3 linked regions of the Bombyx mori genome follow. The protein of the gene in region 3 interacts with the protein of the main gene of each other region in a pairwise test. Links are inferred from orthologs where the notes say so. Each region holds a gene or a part of one and is shown on either strand. Other genes may lie near its edges. The genes, in order: protein son of sevenless, ferritin precursor and DRK.

Region 1 (8,638 bases), on a different chromosome or scaffold from region 3:
CTAGACACGTCCTTACGGATCCATCAGATCCAATAACCTTCGCACTAGACGCCTTCAGCTCTAGGAGCAGGCTTAGGGACCTCGGTAACCGTACTCGTCGAACTCGACAAAGAGTTCGCCGTGCAACCTAACCCATGAATCAGCTCGCTGAGTTTCTCGCCGGATCTTCTCAGCGGGTCGCGATTCCGATCCGGTAGTAGATTCATTCGCGAAGCAGCTGCTCTTGAATTGTTAGGTCTCCTTCGGAGGCGCTCGGGTAGCTGTTAGCAAATCCCACCCCTCCTGGCTGAGCCTTTGCTCGCCCACCTGTCCTGGTGAAACTGGAAAGGCCTCCGGGCCACCAGTAATCCTTCAATCATAAAAAAAAAAAAAAAAAAAAAAACTGGTCGTTTATGGACGGGAGAGTGAGAAGCAACTCAATATACTATATATTACCCCAGAGAAAAGCAACAAGTTTCATTTTGAATTACAAATGAAGCGCGGGTGAAACCGTGAGACACATCTAGTCGTTTAATCGTTACGAGATCTTTGGTGCAAGAGTGAATGTGGTGAGAGATGGCGGCGAGTGCTGGAGCCACTGGTACACTCAACATCTTCGATGCAAATTAAGAACAATCATTGAAAATTAGAACATAATCGGTACTCTACACTGGTGGTGTGGTGCTGTGACCTCACTCGAGCAGATGCAACCGTCCTGCCTGTTTCCGTCGCCTACCTTCGACCTTACGTCTCAAGGTGCGGGCGGCGAACACGTAGTGATGTCTGTGGGCCGCAAGCTCCTTCCGTACCAACCAATCAGTAAAGCGTTCGCAATAAAATAATGAGTAGGCACGTTACCTCTCCGCGTCGCTGTGGGTCTGCGAAAGGTCGAGAGTAACTCTGCCGACACATCCCATTCGTTCGCAACTGTATTGTGTTACTTTGATAAAAACCTTATCGAATTGTATACTAATAAACGCACGCCGATTTGCTCGCTTATTATTTGGCGTGAACAATGCCCCGCCGCTAACACGAGGCTGCTTCACTGTGCAAATAGGCAGGACGGTTGTGCACATCCGCGTGGATTCAATACAACCTACCACCAGTAAACGGTGCAGGATCCTTGATACATATACACGGGGCACTTCAGTGAAGAGGCCTCGAGCACGTCACTAGGATATGACAATAATATGACAGAGGCTTTTTAAGGAATTCTCGCGGTAACTACATTTCGGGTAAATCATCTAGTCGCCTACGAAGGCCTATTGGAAGGAACTAGGTAAGTAATTGCTGACACGGTCACGATATCTCGTCAATCAGAGTCTGGTTTGTCATGCCATTATCGCTACTTATCGTGACAATTACGAAAATAGATTCGACGTTTTCACAGACCAGCCGAGTGTCGGGTTACGTTGTAACTGCGCCACGAGATTATCGGAGGGCTTTGAAAAGCCACCAGGCCTGGGAGAGCTCTGACGACGTTGAGAGCTGATACACGGGAGCGTGCCATGGTCGTGATGAACGAACACACGTCCACCATGTCATTTCAGATCATCCCGATCCACTAACGGTGCTCTTAAGTACCTCAAGGACTGATCATCTTTCTCGTCAAGCCCGTCGCTAGGGCTCGTAGGCTAAATCAGTGGGACACAGCCCACTGAGTTTCTCGCCGGATCTTCTTACCGGGTCGTGTTTCCGATCCGGTGGTAGATTCTGCGAAGCACTTGCTAGGGCCAGTTTTAGCAACGTCGTTAGATTTGAGGCCCGTGAGCTCACCTCAAGGCTACCAGCATAGGAAAAAATAAAATAAAAAAAACGCGTCCAGTTTGTCTTTTGGACTAGTTTGGTGAGGTCCATGGAGACGGTTAGTGAGGCTCGGATAGCTTAGCGCCACAGGCGGGGGTGTCAACTGAACCGGGCGGCTGCGGACACAGTGAGCCGAGGAATGAGTCTACGTTCAGCTGACGTCTCTACATGTATTTATTTTTGTTATTAGGCCTTTTTTTTCTCACAAATCTTATAAATTTATTCCCCTAAGGATAACAATATATGTATTCTACGAACCGACCTTTTTTTTTTATTGCTTAGATGGGTGACAATGTCGAAAGACTTCTCATCACCAGCAAAGTGGAAGGAAAGAGGCCTAGGGGGCGTAGTCCCATGCGCTGGTCCGATCAGATTAAGACGACTTTGGAATCCAACATCAATGTCGCTATCCACTGCGCGGAGGACAGAAGTGAATGGAGGAACATAGTCCTGTAGGGGAATGATACCCCGCCCCGCTTAGCTTACTATGCAGTTATTGTGCATATAGTAATGAGTAGCATACTTTAGTCAGTCAGTGGTTAACGTGCAGCGATCCACCGCGGTCGCTGACGCGAATAAACATACAATTATACTCAGTATTTTATTGATCACTCTGATGAGGTTTCCGGAGGAGAGCGCACAGTAAACCCTCAACATCACGAAACCTCACAGCCCTAACAAAAGTGCTCAGTAAAGGTCACGACCCTCAGAACTGAGGAATACGACGCACGGAGGGAGGAGATGGGTGGACGAGCTCACAGCCCACCTGGTTTTATGTGGTTACTGGAGCCCATTGACATCTACGACGTAAATGCGCCACCCACCTTGAGATATTCAAACCGAAACGCATTACTGCTTCACGGTAAAAATGGGCCGGCGGAGGTACCTACCCGCGCGGACTCACAACAGGTCCTACTACCAGTATGGACGCTGCATTGTCCTCGAGGCTAGATCGACTTAACGCAATAAGACCTGGTTTTATTGAAAAAGATGGTGGCTCATTAATCTAACGCTTGGGAACCACGTTTTCGTCTTTATTTAAGTATTGGCTTTCAACGCCATTGTTGCCAGTGTAGAGTTTATAAAAATCATTAACTATAAAATACATAAATGAGATGCAGTTCATTTATTGGAGTCTTTAATCGATTGGGATGAAATTGAGTGGAACGGGATGAGATGAAATGAAAACTCGCCCTTTGCCTCAAGTCGAACAGGGGTCCTGTGGAGGAGTCGCGCGCACTCACCTGAGGAGCTCGCAGTGCTGGGGGCTGGGCTGCGGCCGGTCCGGGGGCTCCGGCGGCTGCTCGCCCGGCGCCGCTGCACCGACAGTTGGGTTAGTGTCAACACGGGGGCGGGGGCGGGGGCGGGGGCGGGCATGGCTCATAATCAAATTGTATAATTAATAGCTCAGATTTTTCATATATATAAATTTTTAGAAGTTCGCTAATGACGTATATAGAGCGTTTCGAATAAGAATTTGCACGTCAGTGACCTTGATCTGTTGAAGTTCGATAAAAAAGTAAGGACAGCAAAAAAAAAAAAATCTATTTTTAGTGAATATTTTGTCTAATTATGAAAGCTATTAATATGTTTGTTTTAATGAAACATACACACCTCTATAATTTTCTTGATATCTTGAGTGCTGGTCGAGGTTAATTAAACATTAATTTAGATTATATAAAAAAAGGGTGCGTGTACTTATGTACGCGCGTAAGAAGTTATACTTTATTTTTATTAAATTTATTTCTTTTTTTTTAATATTAAATAATTAATAATAAATATTTAACGTTAATAATTTAATAATATTTAGTATGAATTATATTAAATAATAACTTTGTCATTTATATTACTAAATAATACATACGGATAGTTAACCTCAATTGTATTGGAGCACTTAGGAAGGTTGACGAGCACAGTTTTCTAATATTAATTACACACAAAATTACAAATATTTTCTAATATTAATTAGTATTGATTTAAATATTCAATTTAAATCACTTCTGATTATAATTCAGACGCACATATAAAATTCGCACTTGTATAATGAAAACAAAATGAAAACACGTGTTTTAAATGTAGAAACTCAGAGCAAGTGGATAAATATTATAAACATAAATACGCAGTGAACAGAGGCGGCGTGCGTGCCAACATGCGCCACTAACAGAGGTTCCATTTCTGTTTTGTTGGTAGCATTTTTTACGAGTGTACATGCGCGTAAGTTCACCTGCGGCTATATTCAGACTCGCCAAGTTACGTCGGTCGTATTGTAATGAGCGATTTAGTAGGCAACTTCATTCTGTTAATTTTGTGTCACGGTGCGCGCGTGTCGTAAAATTGCACTCTCATCAAATTTTTCATAACGCGCCTAAAGAAGTATAACTTCAAAAAAACACCACCTATTTAAAAATCAAGTCTATAACACTATCGGGCCATATAATCTATGGATGGGCGACGATGATGATGATTACTCAAGCAATGGGATGAGTGGAATCGGTGAACTCTAAGATTTGGATTATAAATTGATATTTAAAAATTTCTAACTTTTTTACTGACTTTACCTATTCTTTTCGATTTGACGGCTATGAAGTCACAATATGGCGCAGGTCCATGTGTATTCTTATTTGAAACGCATTATACACAACACCACGAATACTCATGAACGCTCACGACCGACTATCGGATAAAAACAGCGCAACTTACCATGGTGGGTGTCTATCCGGCGCGGCGGGGCTGGGGGTGGCTCGCTGTGTCGCGGCAGAAGGGGGGGCACGCTCTCCTCTTTACTCTGCGGGACACACGGTGCGGTTAGCGCGGGGCGGGGGCGGGGCGGGGCGTTGGGGGCGGGGGTTTGGGGGCGGGGCGACGCTCACCTCGTGCTTCCTGGCGCCGAGCTCGAGGCTGTGTCGGCTCGTGTAGAAGGAGTCGGCGTCGACGATGGGGTTCCGCGGCGATAAGTTCTGTGGTTTTCTCTCGACGGGCGCCGGCCTGCGGACAACGCGGGGACGGTTGCTAGTGTGTGCGTGTTGTCATTTTATGCGAGTCAATGTCTTCATTTTAATTCAAAATTAATTGATGCTCATGAACATTCATGAATGCTCACAGCTAAAAATACTCTAGTGAAACGCACAATGCGAGGTCCACTCACCGGTCGTGCCTGGGGGAGTGCTTGTCCCTGGGGGAGGGCGGCTCGCTGTTCCTGTGCAAACAATTCAGTTTCATTAGTCATGAGTAATCACTCGTGAGCCGCGGGGCAGGGGCGGGGGGGTTCTCACCTGTGGCTCCTGCCCTTGTCGAACAGACTGAGCTTCTTGTCGAAGAGGCTGAGCTGGCTGAGCGAGCGCGCGTCGGCCTTGGGGCTGCCGGCCTCCGCCCTGCCGCCTGCGACACGCGCCGCAAGGTTAGACTCAACGAAACGCAGAAACAATTATAATTAATAGTTCACTAAAACAAAGAAGTGTGCGACCCTCTCCCGGTCACATCTATCTATTCAGTCGACCGCGCCACTAGGGGGCTGCGGGGGCGACGCTTTAAAAACTATCTGTGAGCTCCAACCTAAGTCAGTGCTCATGAAGGCTCAACACTTAATATTATTTTGATATGAACGAGTGTTAACATTATAGTCTATTGTCCTTAATGAAATGTGCGTGGCACACTTACAAGTAATCACGAGTGCTCATAGGACAAGGCTAGTGTAAGACGTACAACGTGTGCGAGCACTAACCTCTGTGGTCGTCGTGGTGCATGGGCAGCGACGCCACCGACGCGCCGTCCCACGAGCTGCCCGTGGGGGACAGCTGCGACACGCCTGTAGGGGGGGATGGTCACGGTCAGTTTTATTGCTAGTACTCACGATCGCTCACGCAAGCCGCGGAGATAAGTAACACAATTGTTGTGTAAGTGATACAATTGTTGGACTCGGGGGTGCCGGCTGACATGTCAAAGTGACACTGACAGTCATGTCCAATCGACTTTTTGGCGGGAACGCGAGGAGTGAAGTTGTGTGATTTGTTTTATTTTATCTATTAGGTATTTCTTAAGGTTTAAATGTGTAATAACGGTGTTTAATATCTGTGAAAGTGCACAAATGTTGAAAAATGAAACAAAGCCGCTGGACGTAGATTTTCGGGATCCCCCAAAAAGTCCACAAAAAAAAATTCAGTAAATGACCACCATTTTACTGAGATTATATTTCATCCCATATCATCTCATTTCATTTAATTCCATCCCGGACATTAATGTCTCAAATTAATCATCTTAATTTCATTTCATTTCACTCTGTATTATCATTTTTCATAAAAATAAGAATATAAATTAAAATAAGACATTACTTAAAGGTCTTAGTTACCAGGTAATAAAATCCATAAAAAAAAATATTATGTCCAATTGTTTTCACTGGTGATGGAGGATCTTGTGGGCCCCCACCGGTGGTTTCACCCTATTCCTACCACGAAGCAATAATGCAATCTGGTTTGAAGGGTGGGGTACCCGTTGGACTGTTAGTTGAGGTTTACAAGTCTGGCGACGATATGACCACTCGGGTGGCAGCAGTACCGTTGAGATCGTCAGCGCAAAAGTGGTATAAGCTTACCACAGTTAGTATGAAGATAACGCGGTTCGAATTTACTTTTACACTGCTTCGCAGGTAAAAGCGATACGCGCCAAATAATGTGAACAGCGCCATCTGTTGTCTACGGGCGGAACCAGGGATAGAATAGGTTTCATCAATATGAAGAATTGTGGGTCAGGTCACTTGTACGCGGACTCACTGAGGTTGTCGTCGCAGGTGGAGTGGTCGTGCTGGTTCCTCCGGCTGGCCTTCACCTGCTTCAGCGACAGGTCCGGGTACTTCCTGGGCTGCAATCAGACCGAGTTACACGCCTCGCCTCGCGCTAACCAAACTCAATACTAATTACTGAACTGAGAGCATTGATCAGGTAGTAGTGACGTCACGGCGTGCGGGGGTGCTGCGCGGGGCGAGGGGGGCGGCACTTACATACTTCGGCATCTGTTTGACCGGCGGCCGGGGCTCTATTTCCAGACTTTTGTTGTACAGATAATTTGTGATCTCGATGTCGTCTTTCCCGGGAAACGGGTCCAGCGACTCCAGGAATGCCTGTGAAAAGAAAACCAGACTAGAATTTGTAATTTACTTATTACTTACTTCCTAATTTATGTAAGATACAATACACAAGTAACTAAGTAAATCTGGCCATGATTTTTTTATTAAAGTTAAATTCTGAAGAAAAAAAATCAATCTTTTATTCGTCTTCAAAGAAGTCTAGTTATTTCGAAAAAAAAATTGTTATTTCTTTAAAATTGTGTTTTTGAAGTGAAACTTCTAATGCGACTTCCTGTTGGAAGTCGCATTAGAAGGCTGCGTTAAACGTTCAACGCTCCTGGGGAGGGGGGGAATAGAAAGAGACGGAGCGAGAGTGAGTGCGCGCCTCGTGTATGCACCTGGTGCAGGCCAGCGCGCGCGTTAGCAACCAGTAGCGCCCAATATCTTAATGAACTATTTAAAAAAGTACATATATTTATTTTTCTGTCTATAAATTAAAATATATGTAATGTTAATGTTGAAGATGTCGCATCTCTTATACACCGCATTCCCTATTACAAGAGCAATCTGATTTAAGGATGAAAAATGAACAAAACCACAATAGTACACATCGCAAAAGAAGTTTCATTTATTCACGCGCACCGTTTTTTTATATTCTATGCTCCTCGATTATACATATTATATCAATTTTTTTTTTATTGCTTGATGGGTGGACAAGCTCACAGCCCACTTGATGTTAAGTGGTTACTGGTGCCCATAGACATCTACAACGTAAAATGTGCCACCCACCTTGAGATACAAGTTCTAAGATCTCAAGTATAGTTACAACGGCTGCCCCACCCTTCAAACCGAAACGCATTACTGCTTCACGGCAGAAATAGGCAAGATGATGGTACCTACCCGTGCGGACTCACAAGAGGTCCTACCACCAGTAATTACGAAAATTATAATTTTGTGGGTTTGATTTTTATTACACGATGTTATTCCTTCACCGTGGAAGTCAATCGTGAACATATGTTGAGTACGTATTTCATTAGAAAAATTGGTACCCGCCTGCGGGATTCGAACACTGTTGCATCACTCAACACGAATACATCGGACGTTTTATCCGTTAGACCACGACGACTTCAAATTTAATTCAATTTATTTAATTCAACAAATTATACTAGCGATCCGGGCCGGCACCCACCCTGGTCCTGGGCTCCACGGTGAGGCAGTAGGGCTGGTTCTGGTACTGCTGGATCTCGCCCGTGATCTCCGCCACTTTTCTTCGCTTCGAGAAATTTATTAATTCGGAATTTGGAAGGTAGTCTGAAACAATCACATTTGTTATTAACGTTTTGCTCCCTCCTCACCCCGCGCGATGCCAGACACGCGTCTACTCGCGAGGTGGCGGCCGGACCTGGTGTCAACTCACCCAGGTTCCCCTCCTCGATGTGCAGGATGTTGGTGAGGTACATGCCGAAGAAGGGGACGCACGGAGGGTTGATACTCCTCAGCCTCTCCTGGTATCTCCGGAAGTGATCTGTGTTCAGCTCCCGGAGCTCCTCGAGGTATTTTTGCAGGCGGAGAGGAATCAACTGCGGAGTTATTATTGACGTCACAATCTATCTCTTTCCAAACAAATAGTATGGTTTCGGTAGTTGCATGTTATGTGCATGGTGAGGACCTGGAAGGTGGCCCGGAGTCTGTGCACGGAGGCGCTGCCGGCGGCGGCTACGACGGCCAGCACGCCGTTGAAGTTGTTGAGGTGCAGCAGCGCCACGCCCAGCTCCAGCACGCGGCACACCACCG
Region 2 (8,738 bases), on a different chromosome or scaffold from region 3:
TCTCAACCAGGAGGGAAGGTTTGCTAAGAGCTACACGCTACGCTACAAGCTACACGACGTAAAAGGTCACTTAAGTCATGGATCACACAAATGTCACACAATGCCCCTGCATTAACGAGAACAAACAAACTTAAGTCTTGCTTCGTTGGTAACAAAAAGTAAGATTTATACATACATATAGATATATATACATATACATTATGATATCTTTCCATTCGAATCTAAAAAGATAAGACATTGGAAGCGTATCTTTAATCTCTTTAGATAAGGGGACAAAGATTTATACGTCAATGTCCCAGACATTGAGGAATAAAAAATAAAAAAAAATGGTCGTTAAACCAACACTCATAGACAACAATGTCTTCGAGAGTAAATTCAAACACGTGGAAGTAAAAAAATATTTTTTTTGTTCAACAAAGAGTTTCATGATCAGCAATCATCTATGTATACCTAAGTTGGCCAGTAATATATTTGTTCTAGTCTTGTTTACTCACTTAAAGTCCGTCTGCATCCTTGGTCGACGTTCTGATAGCATGAGTCTTCCTCGGCCAGCACACCCAGAGCCAGACAGGCAACGATGAGAGCATACACCTTCATATTTGATGCTGGAATAGACAAGACTAACATTAAATTAAAATAAGAAATATTTTAGGACAAAAACTCCCAGCTAATCAGTTTTACGCTGAAGGTGCTATTCCGTATTCTCCAAGACGAGTGGCTGAGCTCACGGAGCTCAGTAGGAGAGGAATTATGAATATGGCAACAAGCAGCACACAATATAGCTAAATATTTGTCTTTCTGATATTACTGTAGCAACCCTGAAGGTTTAATAAATATTGGATTTATATCCAGAAAGAATGGATAATCCTGAAACACCTCATAGTAGAGCTACTGGAGTCTCAAAATAAAAAATTAAAAAAATATTTCTTAGGTATATAGTACCCAAATTAAAAATAAAGAAAAAATACCAAATTTTATGATTAAAATTTAAGTTCAGATTAACTTTTATATAAAATTACACTAGCTACTCATAGGATTTCCTGCATATAGTCCATGTAGAATATTAAAACACCAAAAAGTCCATGAATTTCATTTATTTGTAGCTGTCGTATATACCAGAAACGCACAGCAGTATAGAAAATAGCAACTTTAAAATAAAAGGCGCAATTTGAATACTACCTGAGTTTTTTATTTTATTTGATGTCATAATAGTTCGGCTATGAGGTGTTTCAGGATTATCCATTCTTTCTGGGACATCCTGTATAATGGTTGTTTTAACGATTTTTGTCATTGCACAAACAAGGAAAAGATTTTATTTTAAGGGATTCCCAATCCAATAAAATTAGAAGTCGTCGTGGCCTAACAGATAAGACGTCCGGTGCACTCGTGTTGAGCGATGCACCGATGTTCGAATCTCAGGCGGGTACCAATTTTTCTAATGAAATACGTACTCAACAAATGTTCACGATTGACTTCCACGGTGAAGGAATAACATTGTGTAATAAAAATCAAACCCGCAAAATTATAATTTGCATAATTACTGGTGGTAGGATCTCTTGTGAGTCCGCGCGGGTGGGTACCACCGCCCTGCCTATTTCTGCCGTGAAGCAGTAATGCGTTTCGGTTTGAAGGGTGGGGCAGCCGTTGTAACTATACCGAGACCTTAGAACTTATATCTCAAGGTGGGTGGCGCATTTACATTGTGGATGTCTATGAGCTCCAGTAACCACTTAACACCAGGTGGGCTGTGAGCTCGTCCACCCAACTAAGCAATAAAAAATTTTTTTTTTTTTATCAAGATTCGATCAGTAATTTTTGAGTTATCCATAATAACACATGTACATATAATTGACTTCTACTAAACTGATTGCATTCTCTTTTTCTTGGCATAAAAACGGTTTCCTTTTTTTATTATAAATTTGTATAATTTATTCCAACAAGTGATCTATTACACACAAAATGTTGAAGTACAGAGTACCATAGATATTTATAATGATTCTGTTTATTTTGGGCTCAACAATTAAAGGGTGTTAGATAGTGTAAAACAAAGAACTACATCTTAGATAGTAAAAACATAATCACAAATTCTAAATGTCAATATGTAGTAGATTTTATAGAAATCCGATAATTAAAAATCAAGTTAGGGAAATGGCAGACAAACAAGCAAATACCACAAAACATACTACAGTGTGTTTTTATCTTTATCTTTTACAATTATTATCTTTAATAGCTCATTAATCACAGTAGACTCGGATTAAATCACAGTATTACAAAGTATTATTGGTGTAATTTGTTATCTGTTGTAATCTCGCAATTAAAGATACCAAAAATTTATCAACTCATATTGGTTGGCCCGTATTGAACTATTTATCTTGTCATCAGAGTAATTGTGTTTTGATATGCAGAAGTGATTTTTATTTGTGGAAACAGTCGTTTGTACGACGTGTGTTTGTCGTGTGCCCCAGTAGGCAAAAGAGTGTTCCGCCCGCCTGGTGGTGAGTGGCTACAGTCGTTTTGGACATCACCAATGCCTACCAGCCCTACCACATAGATACTACTGTAATAAGCCTTTGTTGCAACCCCAATCATATAATGTATTTTTGAGTGACAGCAGTGTTATACAATACGGTTGAGGTTTCGACCTCACGTCTCAAATGACCCCTTAACACTAGGTACGTCGTGAGCTCATCTACGAATTTACATCTAAAAAGACAATTAAATGAGATTACATACATACTGCGTAGAGAGGTCCCTCACAGATTGAAACAAAGTTCTACTTAAGGGTCATGAGCGGTGGTGACCACTTACCATCAAGTGACTCAATGGCAAAAAAACGCTTCTTTCTAATAATCTTTATATTTGCGTTTTAATGCATTATCTACACTGTTGTAGTTATTGTATTTAATTAGAAGACATATTTAGTATTATAATAATATGTATTTAATAGGTACCCATTCAGTTCACGATTCGCTTTAATCAACTATACAAATCACAAAGTGTTAGTAACTATTTGTCAAACTACCCGGCGCCATATATTTGCGATAACTAAAAAAAAAAATCCTGGAAATTCTAAAGTTGAATTTTAAATCTATGGAACGTCTAAATGGCGAATAAAGACATAGGTAGGTACTCATAAACATTAGATACGTTTAACAAGTTTAATAGTATTAAAAAAAAACACCATCACTTGATTTTCACAAAATACCGAATAAAACATTGAAATCAAAATGTTCGACATTTGAATATGAAAGAACACCTACAAATTAAAATAATTGCTAGAATCTTATCGACTACGCTCTAGCTAATATAAGTTTAAAAAAATATATATACGTTTACGAATCATTAATATTGATTTACGATTTACGCACACGATCGAAAAGATTTATTTTTTGCTTGAAATAGGCATCAAACCTAGTAAAATTAAACGCCCAACACAAAACGTTAAAAACAAAATCATATCACAAAAAAAAATCGGTTCGTTCAGTTGCTGTTATAAAAATTAGGCTGCATGCGTAGTTTCTCGAATATTTTAAACTTTTTTTATTGATTAGCATCTAGGAAATAAACAAATACGAAACAAAAATAAGCGAACAAAAAAATTAAAAAATTCTCACCGATTTATTTAGTGGCGAATTCTCGAAAAAATAACAAGTGCGTTTGACGTATGTCGAAAGTACTGCCTTTACACACACTGGCGCAGAAGGCGACTTCCAACAATGACTCGTCTAGATGAAAACGTCCGCACAAAGACAACAGATTGTAATTTATTTTAATATTTTATCAGCGTTACGATTGACAGCGGGTTAGTCGCAAAATCGAACACAAAATAAATTAGTCATTCCTCGTGAAGCTAGTCGCAGTATACAGGGATGTCAAATTTAAAATTAAATCTCCCATGTGCCATGATAACCAACCTAGTTTATCGCTATCCCTTTCTACAGTAAAAAATGTAAATTCAAAAACAATACCTCTGTGTCCTTGACGCAGTAATATTTTTATGATATTGTTGGTTAAATTTCCTAAAATATAATTTTAAAAGGCCAGCAATTTAACTGTTAATGCCTTACTGAATTTTACAAATCTGCTCAAAAAAAAGGAACACTTTTAATGCTGGTATTAAAATCAATAAGTGGGAATCTCTCCATCTCGCTATTCTCGTTTTCCTTCCCCCTCGTCCGAAATGTTTTTTGTGACGTAACCTCGAATGTTGAGGTTTTGTGTTCCGAGAAATTTCTTTAATATCGATTTTTTTACAAATAGCTAACTTTAATGTTCGTTTTATTTCCTTTTTAAGCATAAGAATAAATAATTACGCATGAAAAATAATCGTAAACTTGATTTTTATGTTTTATTCACTTCAAAATCATAAAAATATTCCATTGTCAACCTTGGAACACGAAACCTCGTAGTCATGACTCTTTTCTTTGTTGTGCAATGTAGGTTATTTCCATCTCGCTCGCTCACATCACTCGCTGTCAACACGGGATGGCCGCCTTATCGCTGCGCAGTTCATTATTTAGTTCAATTCAAAGTGACATACGCGAATAGGACTTATTTATTTGAATTTCCTGCGAATTATAAGTCGCCTTCTGCGCCAGTGTGTGTAAAGGCTTGACTTATACAACTACTGCTTTCACGAGCGCATATTTTTTTGAGTATCGTCAAAGAATCTGTGATTATAAGAGAAATTAAGATGAGGGCTGTTTTCTTTGCTGTCCTCGGACTCGTTGCTGCCCTAGCTCCTGCCACAGCTACACAGTGTGAGTACCGAAACATATTCTTACCTATTCCTTCTGTTTTTTTCTAATTTATATGATTTTCCGATTGACTCCTTTGTCGGGTAGGTTATACGAGGTACAATAAAGTTCTAGGCGCTTCCAAAAATCGATATAAGCGTTTTTCTTCTGTAGTGTCCGAATTTTAATTAATGCTTTTAAAATTAATAATTAGTAGCATGCTTAAAAAATGAAATATATAATTATAGAAACGAAATTCATATACGCGCCGTGCTCAGAAACGAAAGGCAGTATGTGCCATTTTATTTATTTAATGATGATCAGGAAGTAATTCAATCAAGGCCTTCAATTCAAAATCAGATGTTGTTTTTATGTTGTTACAAAATCTAACATGGGACAGGAATAGGAATAGGAACTCATAAATGTCGGAAGAAATGGTGCTTGCTATCTCTTGAATCGTTTAAGAGATTTCGTTTTTGGAAAAAAAAACACCTAGCATATTAATTACCAGACAGTTGTGTTATTCGTGAATTGCTTATTTAATTGAATTTTGTTCAACGCGTACCGTCATTTGTTTTTCCAAGTCGCCATTTAGCCAATGTTGAAGTTTCTACATTAAGTTCGACTATGAAGTCGGAAGCGGTGCATGTATCAAATATCAATTCTGCCTGTTCACTCTAAGAGAGTGAGAGAGAGAGATAGAAAAAGAATACACTTTTTTTTTTCACACCAAAACATATCGAGGGATGTAAATCTATTTGGTTTAAGCGACATTTCACTTAAATACGCGCAATTTATTATTGTAATTAAAGGTGCGTTTTATTCCAAATAAAACGCACGAAAATTCAATTAAAAACATCGAACTGTTGATGTTAATACCAATATTAACATCAACAGTTCGATGTTTTTAATTGAATTTCAATTAAGCTATTTTTTTCTAATGATATGTATGAAATGTCGCTTACACGAAATTGCCTTTCACCTATCGTTTTAACATTGGAAAACATTCCACAGACAGATATACATAATTTTATATTAGGCGGTCTTATCGAGCGATCTCTTCCAGACAAGCGTTTTTATTTAGAGGAATTTTGAAAAGATACGGCGAGTTCGTTGCGGGTACAAAAAAAAAAGAATAATAATTAAAAAATTTATTTACTACATATAATAATAATATGAAGTAATTATATGACTTGCTTACCAATTTACTTTCGTTTATATAATAAATCGATAGTTTGCTTAAAGTTAGGTAGGCAGCGGCTTGGCTCTGCTCATGGCATTGCTGAAGTCCATGGGCGATGGTAACCACTCACCAGGTGGGCCGTATGCTCGTGTGTCTACAAAGGCAATAAAAAAAGTTAAATACATTTTTTTATCGAACACTAGCTGACCCGGCAAACTTCGTAGTGCCTCAATCGATAAATAAAAGACCTAAACTTTTGACCTTTGAAACTGAGACCTTAGAATTCATATTTCAAAGTAGGTGGCGGCATTTACGTTGTAGATGTCTATGGGCTCCGGTAACCCCTTAACATCAGTTGGGCTGTGAGTTCGTCCACCCAACAAAATCACAAAAACATAAAAAACAAAGCGTCGCGACAGATCTTGTAAACTGACCTCATGTCTCAAGGTGACGTTTACTTTGAGGTCCGACCGCTTACTATCAAAACCGCACGCGTCTCCGACCCGAAGATCGCACGCTTATGATCAGATGAGCTATCTGCTCGTCTAAATAGAACGAGGCGACGTGTTTAAATGTCTTAAGAAGTACTAGGCTGACATAAACGTAAGGAGCTCTCTTTGAATGCGCTTTAGTACTGTGAACCGCTTCGAACAGGCCCTACGCTACTTCGAACAGGCCCTAGGCTGAGACTACGCCCACTGAGTTTCTCGCCGGATCTTCTCAGTGGGTCGCGTTTCTGATCCGGTGGTAGATTCTGCGAAGCACGGCTCTCGCTAGAGCCAGTGTTAGCAACGCCTGGTTTGGGCCCCGAGAGCTCACCTACATGTTAGGCTTACGCGGACAAGAGCCTCTCAAGAATATCAGCTTAGGTAGGAAAAAAGTGAGTCCTCATGGGCAGGTGCCATATTCTACCGCGAATCAGTCTTAGGATTCAGTTGCCCAGAGATATTCTTTGAGGGTTTTGATCAATAAAACCAGTATCGGCCGTGAAATTGTAAACTGCAGTGTCAACAACATCTTAATCCCGTGACTGCCCTGTAGGTCACCGGTGCCCTACGCGGCGCACTGAAGTAATTACGTCGATTTCTGTTACTAAGGATTGCCTAGCATTGCCTTTATTTGTTTGTCAATGCACGTTTTAGTCTTTTAGAAATGGATTCGGTGTCAGTATTTTCGGATTCATCTTTCCCAGAGTCTACTAGATATTCCGGCGCCTTCTTTTTTTCTTTCTTTTTTCCCTACCTATTCGCTGGTGGCCTAAGAGGCTATTTCAGCTACGCAAGGACGGGTAGGTGAGCTCACGGGCTCAATCTGAGAAAATTTGCTAACACTAATCCTAGCAAGAGCAGTACTTCGCTGAATCTACCACCGGATCGAAATCGCGATCACGTAAACTGCAGAGTGTCGAAAACATCTTAAGCATGAATTCTAAGTAAACCCTATAAGTATACAAGATAAAAAAGATACCATCGGTATTCTTTGATAGTTTCTCTACCTGCCATACAAGGGCCTATTTTAAGGTCGGACGATAATACCCAATATGCGGATACAGAAAAAACAGATACAAAAGACGCTAGTAGCCGCCATTTTTCTTTTGTTGAGCCACGAAATGAATTGTAAACGCTATTATCGAAGGAATTTTTATACGATTTTCGTAAATGCTTTCTTGATATTTTGGCTGTTGCCAGCGCCATCATCACGGGTTGGGAAGACTGCCGATAGGATGCTAGGAGCAGACAAATCCAGAAAATACTGGTAGACTTTTTGGCGGCAATGCTTAGTGTAATGAATTTGTTAATGGGGGCTTATTACTCGTTTAACATCTATGGACGTCCATGAGTTTTGGGAATTCGAAATAAAATACTTAAAATTCCATTTTAATGTTTGTACCAGTTTGTACCACATATATGTTTGCTATTTATAACAAAAGATTTGGCCGTATGGACTACGTTCCCTTTCATATGTGTAATGGAGAAAAAAAAGTCGGTAGATTCGTGTTTCGAACAAAACACAGACAAAAAAGAAATCCGTTTTTTTTTTCTTAATTCCATATACTTTATTTGGGCAGACGGTACACGTTACAAAGAATCCTAAAAAAATGTATCCTAAGAAATGATTTGAGTGATCTGACTTGGAACAAAAAGAAAATGCGTACTGCAAAAGAATAATTACGCGGACTAGCTAAAAATAACTTGTAATTAATACGCGCGTTACGCGAATTAAAACTTTGCAGTTGTATAAATAAGTGCCATTATCTGATGCTGTTTGCATTTAATTCCCACAATACCTACTTACCGGCTAAATCTTATCAAAAGAAACGGTATAATTAACGTATTGAAAAAAATATATATATGGTAAAATATTATAAAGTAGCGTGGAAATAACATGTTTACCAAAACATTCATTTTACTATCATTTAAATGAATGATATAGATAGAGCGTAAACAAAAATTATAATTATTGCATGTATTGAATTGTATAAGAAAACCATATAAGTCTTAAATTTGCATTAAATACGTGCGCGACAAATAGATGAATAACTCAATAACTCAATATCACGCCAACCGATTTCGATGATTATTGTTTTTAGTGTATATTAATTTGTTTTGGAATAAAAAAAATTCTATTTAAAGTCTGTTTCTCTTAAAGCATGTCTATTTACAATTGTTAATAAGTCAATAATAACATTTAAGTATAAATAACAATTTAAAAGTTACTAGTGGTCGCCCAGTAGTCAAAATTCGGCTATAATTTTTTGTTTCAATTATAAGTTTGAACACTATTATGGTTTATAGTCATTTTAAGTTTAAATTATAATT
Region 3 (8,738 bases):
AAAAAAAACGATAATTCACTCTAAAGGCAGCATCTGCCAAGTAACAACCTTACAAAACTACAAAGACCTTAATACATATGTTTTTCTATTTATTAATTTCTAGTTACTTTCAATGTGTCACATTATTTTTTAAGAAATAATTATAAAAATAAATGTATCAATATTATAATTTACTTAATATTCCCATTTGACTCATGAAAACCTAACATACTTGGGTTGTAGATGAAGTACACTCAATAAATAATTAAATGTCATTACATAGTAACAAATAGTTTAATGGTTTATTACCTGGTTAGTAAAAGCACCTGGTGTGAAACGTCCCGCAATAGGCGTAGCACCGGTGTGCGCGGCAAACTTCAGTACAGCACGCTGACCGAAGGGCCGTGATGAGATGACGAACACATCAGCGGGGTTCTCGATGGCTACGACAGCACGAGCAGCCAGAACAAGTTTTTCCCAGGTACGACGCAAGTTGATCACATGGGTACCATCAGCACGTCGTTTGTAGACATAGGTCTCCATCTGTTTTGCAACATTTTCTTCAAATACCACTCATTTAAAGCAGAGCTTATTATTAAGTAATTGAAGCTCAGTTGGGAGAATTAATCGTCATACAATAATCAGAATAAAATGGAACGGATTCTCTTATCATCATGGTTTTGTTAGGTTATGTTTATAACAGATTTGAATATTTTTGTATGTATTTACCTGGAAGTTAACATTTTCTGCCCCAAGATGGGTGGTTGCAGCAAGCATTTTGGTGACATCTTCCTCGTTGAGGGCGAGCACGTCTAATCCTCCCGACATCGTTGCGCTTATTTGAGTTACGACTAAACCTGAAAAATCACCACACGATTAATTGACAATGTTCGTATTCAGTGATCAAATACTGATAATTTACTCTTGTTTATTAAACATACATTTTGATCACACAACACATTAAAAGTTCTATTAAACGATGTAAAAACAATTTTTCGATTTATTACTTACGCGTATAATGCCACTGGGAGGCGAAATGGACTTAAAGAAGTGTCAAATATGTCAATGAAAACTAGTTGTCAAAGTTGTCCTTGGACTAGAATTCAAACAAGCAAAGAAAATAAAGCTTATACTATACACAAAAATCGAAGCCATACCTCTTCAGCAAAAACTAAAGAATTTTGTCTAAATTAGCTTTCCTTCAGATTATGAATAATAATATCATGGATTTTCAAAGGTTATCGTTTAATTGAAATTAATTAATTTGTCGTCTGAATTCTTATTGTAATGTCCATAAAGTTTGATAGTAATAATACACAAAAAAGAAGAGAGGTTGAGGAGGTTAAAAGATAAAATACAACGTGTACGTTTGACGTGTTATGTATCCCAGATAAACGAATTTTTGAAATTATACTTCAATAAATAAAATAATAGTTTACTATTTTAACTTAGTTTTATTTTTACTTTAACGGAAAATAAGTAGAAATGACTTAGCTTGCGATTTTTTGTTTCCCAAATTATGTACATAGTTATCTTTTAAAATCAATTTATTTTAAAGAATGTCAGCTGCGTAATATAACGTTATTATATTTTTAATCAAACTTTTCTAATTTTATTATACATTTTTTTGGTTTTATGTATTTATTTGCTTTCAAATTAAGAAAGGAGAATTAGCAAAATTGTATTTTTGTAAGCAGATTTTTTATTATGAATTTTTCAAAATTAATTTTGCAGTTGTAAATAAAATTAAGTACATGCTATTGCCCTTATTTTTTTGGATAGCAATAAACTGTTTCTGTTTGGCAAAAATATGTTACAATTTACTGATTATAGTCCTCCATTTAAGTGGTAATTATTTCACGTATCGGAACTTTTGTATCATATTAAACTTGATGCCGGCTAGAAAGGCAAAGGCAGTTATTACTAGAATCCAATTGCTAGTTTGAACCTCATGTCATAATTTGGCATTCATGTTTTGATGTCTATGAGCTTCGGTAACCACATCAAACTAGGCGGGCTTTGATCTCGCTCACGCGTTCAAGCAAATAAATAGCAAAAATAAACACAACAGTAACGAAATGTAAAATAGTGATTATTTGTAAGATAATATCGATGAAGTTAAAGAATATTTCATCACAACCACAATATTTAAAAAAAATATGGTGCGTGTACAACTTGGTGCACGTGAAAAAAGGGAAACTTCTTTTGTGGTGTGTAGTATTGTGGTTTTCTTCATTTTTCATCTTTAAATCAAATTTCCCCATTAATAAGGAATGCTATATATAAGATAAACTATCTAGCTCACTTTGTCCTTTCCCTCTCTCCACGGTCGAGTGGTTCATGAGACGCTCTGTCTATTTTCTCACTCTCGGTCTTCCTTAATGAGAAATATGTATATGCTGAAAGTGAAAAAAAATTAGCCAAGTTACCATTCAGGCAATATCATTTTGTGGTCTTTAATGGCAAGTCGTCCTTCGTCCATAGTCGTCCTTCTAGTCTACATTCTGCTGAAAAGTTTAAATTTAGACCTAAGTTTTGATGGCAATTCGTCTCTTAAACTTAGTTGGGGCGTCTGAATCTAAATCTTTTAGTCAATTTCAATATTTTCATAATGAATTAGGTTTTTAAATTCATCTACATGTTTTACGAATCCTTATAGTAGACGATTCTTATAAGTGAGATCCAATTCAAATGTAGAATGAATTTGTTTTTAGTCTTTACAGGTAAAGTTGATGTTATGTTCCTTGCCAGTATCAAAAACACACATGAATGCAAGTAAATTTTCGAGCTAAAAACACAGCTGCAAAGTGGCAACATTTTGATTTTTTTGTCAATTTGTAAAGTGAGTGATGTGTTGAGTACAGACGGATTCCGATTGGGTTTTTCTAAATTTGTAACTAAAACGCATCTTTTTTATTCAACATTGTGAGACAATACGTGCATTATGATTATTTTACTTCCTTGACATTAGACATTTTGGAAAGTTTGTGTACTTTAAGAGTTATTTTTAAGAATTCGGTGACATTTCAGTGAAGTGCCTAATTTGATCATGGAGGCTCTAGCAAAACACGATTTTACTGCAACCGCAGATGATGAGCTCAGTTTTAGAAAAAATCAAGTATTAAAAGTAAGTTAAATATTTATTTAACTTTTTGTTTTGTTTAATACCTAGCGATAGTTCTTTCTAGAATGGTTCCTATTGCAGATTCTAAACATGGAGGACGATATGAACTGGTACAGAGCTGAATTAGACGGGAAAGAAGGGCTCATTCCTAGTAATTACATACAAATGAAAAATCACAGGTAAGTGGGATATCTAATATTTCTAGTCTTAAAATTATAACTGATACTTATAACGATTTTAAAATATTCTTAATTAAAATAACCAGTTTATTTTTGACTTAGGTTTTATTTGTGAAAGCAAGAAGATATTGCTCTTGTGTAGCTATGTAGAGATCTCAGATAAAATTTAGAAAAAGAATGTTTTCATTTCATTCCAAACATTTGCTGAAGAAAACTGATAATGTAAACATTGTTTGTTTATAATTAAACTTGGGCTGGTCTACTCATTTTTATTTACATTTAACTACTATGGTATCCGGAGAGTGTTGCCAAACCTAATCTACAAAGTCATTTCATTATTCTTTAGAAGAAGAACATACAAAATGAATGTTATTTATAGATACACAACAGAAATTTCATGTAACTTACCAGCTGCCACTAAACTAATCAACAAATGTTTGTTTACATTACCAATTGTAATAATAAAAGCCAAAGTGTCTTTAAACATATGAAGTGTATTTTGAAAGGAGAAAACAATATTTGATTTCAAAGTAAATTATAAATTTGGTGTATTTTTTATTACACAATTAAGAATTACGAAAAGTGCTTTTTTTATTTGAGTACTAAACTTTATTTCATGATTCTCAATGAGAAAAGATTTGAATAGATAGAAGGTAGTTATTAAACATATATTAAAGAGAATGGTCTCTTCAACTAGAATCTGATTATACATCAGAAATAAACCTGTTGATTTTGTAAGTGCTAATGCTTTGCCAAGCAATAAAATTAATGTGAAGGCTATGCCTGAAGTGATACAAATGCTCCTTTAATTCATAGTGTTGAGTAGTACTATAATATGAATGCAGAACATACTACCATGACCACCTAATTTGAGATGTGAGATGCAGTATCAATTGCATTGTGATAATAACTGTCCTAAGGTTCAAACCTAAAGGCACAATTGCTGCAAGACAAATATGGTATACAGAGACACACATACAGTGTATGCTTACAGCATACCTGACCACCAAAAACTACTATTAGTAATAATAGTAATAAAAATTCTAAATATTTGTAGAACATTTACTTATTTTTTGTTTATACCTTACTGGTGTATTGTGTGGTGTATATTGTATCAGCTAGACTGGAAGAGAAATCTAAGCACATCCAGTGCATCGACTTAATGAATTGGATGTCAGAATGAGGTCACAAACCACCTTGTGTCAAGTAGTTACAGGAGCTTATAGATATTACGGTGTAAATTCTCACTATCCACCAGTTTTAAGGATTAAAAACTGTCTTGGGACATATTAAAAAAAAACCATAATTTTTAAGTAATTATTAATTTGAAAATAGTAAGTATTTGTATTTTAAAGGTGTGCCTACATAACCTCTCTTTTTCAGTTGGTATTATGGGCGTATTACAAGAGCAGATGCAGAAAAACTCTTAGCAAACAAACCTGAAGGTGGCTTCTTGATAAGGATCAGCGAATCAAGCCCTGGCGACTTCTCCTTATCAGTCAAGTAAGTCCTTTGTATTTTTACATGTAATGTTTATTATTTTTCACAGTAATAATAATCATTATTTATTATTTCTCTTTTAAAGTTATAGTACAAATACAAATAGAGATTAACCTTACAATTTATTTTGTTAGCCTTTGAAAGAACTGCAGTCTGTACTAGGTTCAAAGACCTGTATTACTGATCTCCAGGCTCCCTGCTTCTTAGGATAGATTAGGCTAGGTTAAGTCATGAACAGATGTCGCAGACTAAGTGTTGAGAGATCATTAGGTGTTATCATTTAAGTAGATATCAGTAGTTATCATTCCAACAGAAGACCGTTCATTATTATTATTTAAATAAACAATTTTATCTGGATGGAATGTTTTCTGTATGTTTGCATGTAAATAACTTAGTGTTTCTCTAAATGTTTTATCAATAGAGTCTATTAGTAATAAAATAAAAAGCTCCCTTATGTAATACTTATAAAACTAATATTGTATGTATATAGTATATTACAGCTTATAACTAAGGGAAAATTGTCTTTGTCTTAACAGAAAAATACATTATAGCAATGCTATCTAAAAATATATATTGGAATCACAATAACATTTACATTTTAAGTTCAGGTGAATGACCAGCATTTGCATCCACGGGTCACTGCAGTATAAATAAAGTAAATGAAGAGTAAAAAGAACCATCTATAGTCTTATGCAATTTAACATTGAAAAACCATTATAAGATAAATGTATTTAGGACGTCAGAAAATGTAATGTGTAAATAAATACTTTGTAAATGTAGTTTTAACCATGTGTGCGAATTCTAAAACTGAGTGAATATTAAAACATTTTATCTATTCATGGAAGGTTGGTCATAAGATAGATAGAGAACTTGATAAATTCAGAATTTTTCTTATCTCAATAATAAGAAAAATACACCATCTGAAATACGTACAAATAAATACATTCCATCCTTATCAAATTTTCTAGAATGACTAAACTTTATTTCCTTCTACAGTCAACAATAAAGAAAAAAAACAAACTATGACAAATACAATACTACTCATTTTACTTGTAAAGCTGTAAAATTTACCTCATATTCATCATGTGAACTAGTTCTGTTGAGTTTCTGTAGGCTTCTGTAATCACTTAACACCAGATGGGCCGTGAATCTGTTCACCCATCTGTTCAGCTAAAATAAATTGTTGTTGTAATAAATAATTGTTTTAAAATTATGTCACAGATCCATTTGGATAGACGGCTCTTTCTGTGTTTGTACTGTGTGTGCTATGGAGATGGATATTTATTGTTTATTTGCATGGACGAACTCACAGCCCTCCTAGAGTTAAGTGGTTACCAGAGCCCATAGACATCTACAACGTAAATGCCCCCCCACTCACCTCGAGACAAGAGTTTCTAAGGTCTCAAGTACAGTTACAACGGCTGCCCCACCCTTCAAACCGAAACGCCTCGCTGCTTCACGGCAGAAATTGGTGGGGTGGTGGTATCTACCCGCGCGGGCTCACAAGGGGTTGTACCACCAGTAATTACGCAAATTATAATTTTGCGGGTTTGATTTTTATTACACGATGTTATTCCTTCACCGTGGAAGTCAATCGTGAACATTTGTTGAGTACGTATTTCATTAGAAAACTTGGTACCCGCCTGAGATTCGAACACCGGTGCATCGGTCAACACGAATGCACCGGACGTCTTATCTTTTAGGCCACGACGACTGATAAAATGCTCCTGGCATTGCTGACATCCATGAGTGACGATCTACCTATAAAGTATAAAGTAAATACAATAGCATGTAATCGTTTACAAGTCGCAAATTTCTAAACTCGGCTTTTATATTAATGGAAACTAATTTCGAAAGTAAAAAATCTACGCTAAGTTACGAATTCCTACTTATCTACTACAGCAATGAAAACATTGCAATTTTTCAGGCAGTTTGCCTTTACATCACATTATCTATATATTAATACGTGAAGCAAAAATTTTGTATCCCTTTTTACGAAAATTGCGCTGACGGAGGAGACTGAAATTATCCACACTTATAGAGAATATAGAGAAGAAGTGCACAATGCTAATATTTTTTAAAACTAATGCATAAAAGATACATTAAATCAATAAAGAAAACATTACACACACCACATACCATGTATTTGACGCACACACGCATGCATACTATATTGTCAAACTTTTGTTCTTGACGTCTTTGGTCAAATTTTTTTATTTTTTTTTATTGCTTTTTGATGGATGGACGAGCTCACAGGCCACCTGGTGTTAAGTGGTTACTGGAGCCCATAGACATCTACAACGTAAATGCGCCACCCACCTCGAGATATAAGTTCTAAGATCTCAGTATAGTTACAACGGCTACCCCACCCCTCGAACCGAAACGCATTGCTGCTTCACGGCGGAAATAGGCGGGGTGGTGGTACCTACCCGTGCGGACTCCCAAGAGGTCCTACCACCAGTGATTACGCAAATTATAATTTTGCGGGTTTGATTTTTATTACACGATGTTATTCCTTCACCGTGGAAGTCAATCGTGAACATTTGTTGAGTACGTATTTCATTAGAAAAATTGGTACCCGCCTGCGGGATTCGAACACCGGTGCATCGCTACATACGAATGCACCGGACGTCTTATCCTTTAGGCCACAACGACTTCAAAATTCAAATTGAGAATAGATTAAATATTGTTTGTCTTTATTAATATTTTTTTATAGTGTAGCCTTGGCGAAGTTTATGATTATAGTATGTGTACAAACTTACAATTCCAGTTAATTATAGTCGAATTTCGACTACTGTGGGACCTCTAGTTCCTTTAAATATATGATCACTATTAATTAACGTATATTAATATCTATTCACAAGATGTCATTTTTGAGTAAATTTTGGAGATAAATGTCAAATTTTCAGGCACTATCTACTATCATTTTGTTTGAAACTTACATGTTTTATAAACTTTATTCAATGTTCATTTTATGTTTTTGTATTTGGCCTTACTATACTTAGTCCACGTAAAATGTGTAGTAGTTGCCGAACAAAATTGCTATTAAATGCAGACAGACATGACGAAATAATAAAAGCCACGTTTTTTTTGCCAATTGGCTGCCAAAAAAGTTGTTTCTAATAATGATCAGTGTATCTTCTGATCAAATGGATACATAAATATTTCCAAACAAGTAGTATTAAGAATAATTTTGCACACCTGTATCGGTGGCGGTACATACCGTTTACAATTTCACACCCACGATACGTTATTGCATCAACACGTGCTGAAGCTGCCTCGAAATTGTTTAGATTTCGTCTGGAAATTTAGTTTAGAGAACTGAATCAATCCATGTATTTAGTCTATTATTGTACATCAGTTTATACATCAGCGCAGGACCGGTCTTTGTGGCGAGGCTTGGGGAGGCCTATGTCCATCAGTGGACGTCCATGGGCTGATAAGAAGAAGTTTAATCCTTACTGAAAAAGAACTTGTAATTTCTTTTGTCGAACTTTTCTCATGCAATATTGCAATAAATATTTCTAAGAAATACGAAATTGATTCATGTCCACGCTGTTAATATCTTAGTCATATTTTTACACAATATGTAATTTGTGTTAACTATGTAACAATCAATCAATATGTCAGTGTATTTGCTCTTGATACGCAGGCGGGTCCACTCAGGGTTAAGTGATTATCGGAGTCCACATGACATCATAAAGCTAATTCTGTCAAGTTGAGACATGAAGCATGTAAGTCCCACTTTTCGAACAAAGCAAAAGCACACACGGTAGGTAGGTCAGCGGTAGGCAGCGGCTTGGCTCTGCCCCTGGCATTGCTGAAGTCCATGGGAGACGGTAACCACTCACCATCAGGTGGGCCGTATGCTCGTCTGCCTACAAGAGCAATAAAAAAAAAACACACCTGTTAAGCGGCAGAAAGCAACAATTCCCCTGAATAATTACTGGTGGTAG

Evidence for each region.
Region 1: the proteins of DRK (region 3) and protein son of sevenless interact in a two-hybrid assay, tested with the Caenorhabditis elegans proteins (3 studies listed by BioGRID). The link is inferred for Bombyx mori from reciprocal best matches to the Caenorhabditis elegans genes sem-5 and sos-1.
Region 2: the proteins of DRK (region 3) and ferritin precursor interact in a two-hybrid assay, tested with the Caenorhabditis elegans proteins (3 studies listed by BioGRID). The link is inferred for Bombyx mori from reciprocal best matches to the Caenorhabditis elegans genes sem-5 and ftn-2.

What each region holds. Positions count from the first base shown.
Region 1 is NC_085129.1:21,325,203-21,333,840, forward strand, and holds part of protein son of sevenless, read right to left. Parts: coding exon 8,514-8,638; intron 8,425-8,513; coding exon 8,262-8,424; intron 8,156-8,261; coding exon 8,034-8,155; intron 6,899-8,033; coding exon 6,779-6,898; intron 6,640-6,778; coding exon 6,552-6,639; intron 5,591-6,551; coding exon 5,507-5,590; intron 5,164-5,506; coding exon 5,058-5,163; intron 4,982-5,057; coding exon 4,931-4,981; intron 4,771-4,930; coding exon 4,656-4,770; intron 4,571-4,655; coding exon 4,486-4,570; intron 3,103-4,485; coding exon 3,030-3,102; intron 1-3,029. UniProt on the Caenorhabditis elegans protein: Promotes the exchange of Ras-bound GDP by GTP. May regulate signaling pathways downstream of receptor tyrosine kinase, egl-15 and let-23.
Region 2 is NC_085130.1:11,326,350-11,335,087, reverse strand, and holds the start of ferritin precursor, read left to right. Parts: upstream 1-4,479; 5' UTR 4,480-4,693; coding exon 4,694-4,760; intron 4,761-8,738. Other genes in the region: ferritin precursor, read right to left, coding at 495-597.
Region 3 is NC_085123.1:5,827,776-5,836,513, reverse strand, and holds the start of DRK (DRK protein), read left to right. Parts: upstream 1-3,028; coding exon 3,029-3,106; intron 3,107-3,184; coding exon 3,185-3,282; intron 3,283-4,665; coding exon 4,666-4,785; intron 4,786-8,738. Other genes in the region: RpSA (small ribosomal subunit protein uS2), read right to left, coding at 289-522, 709-807.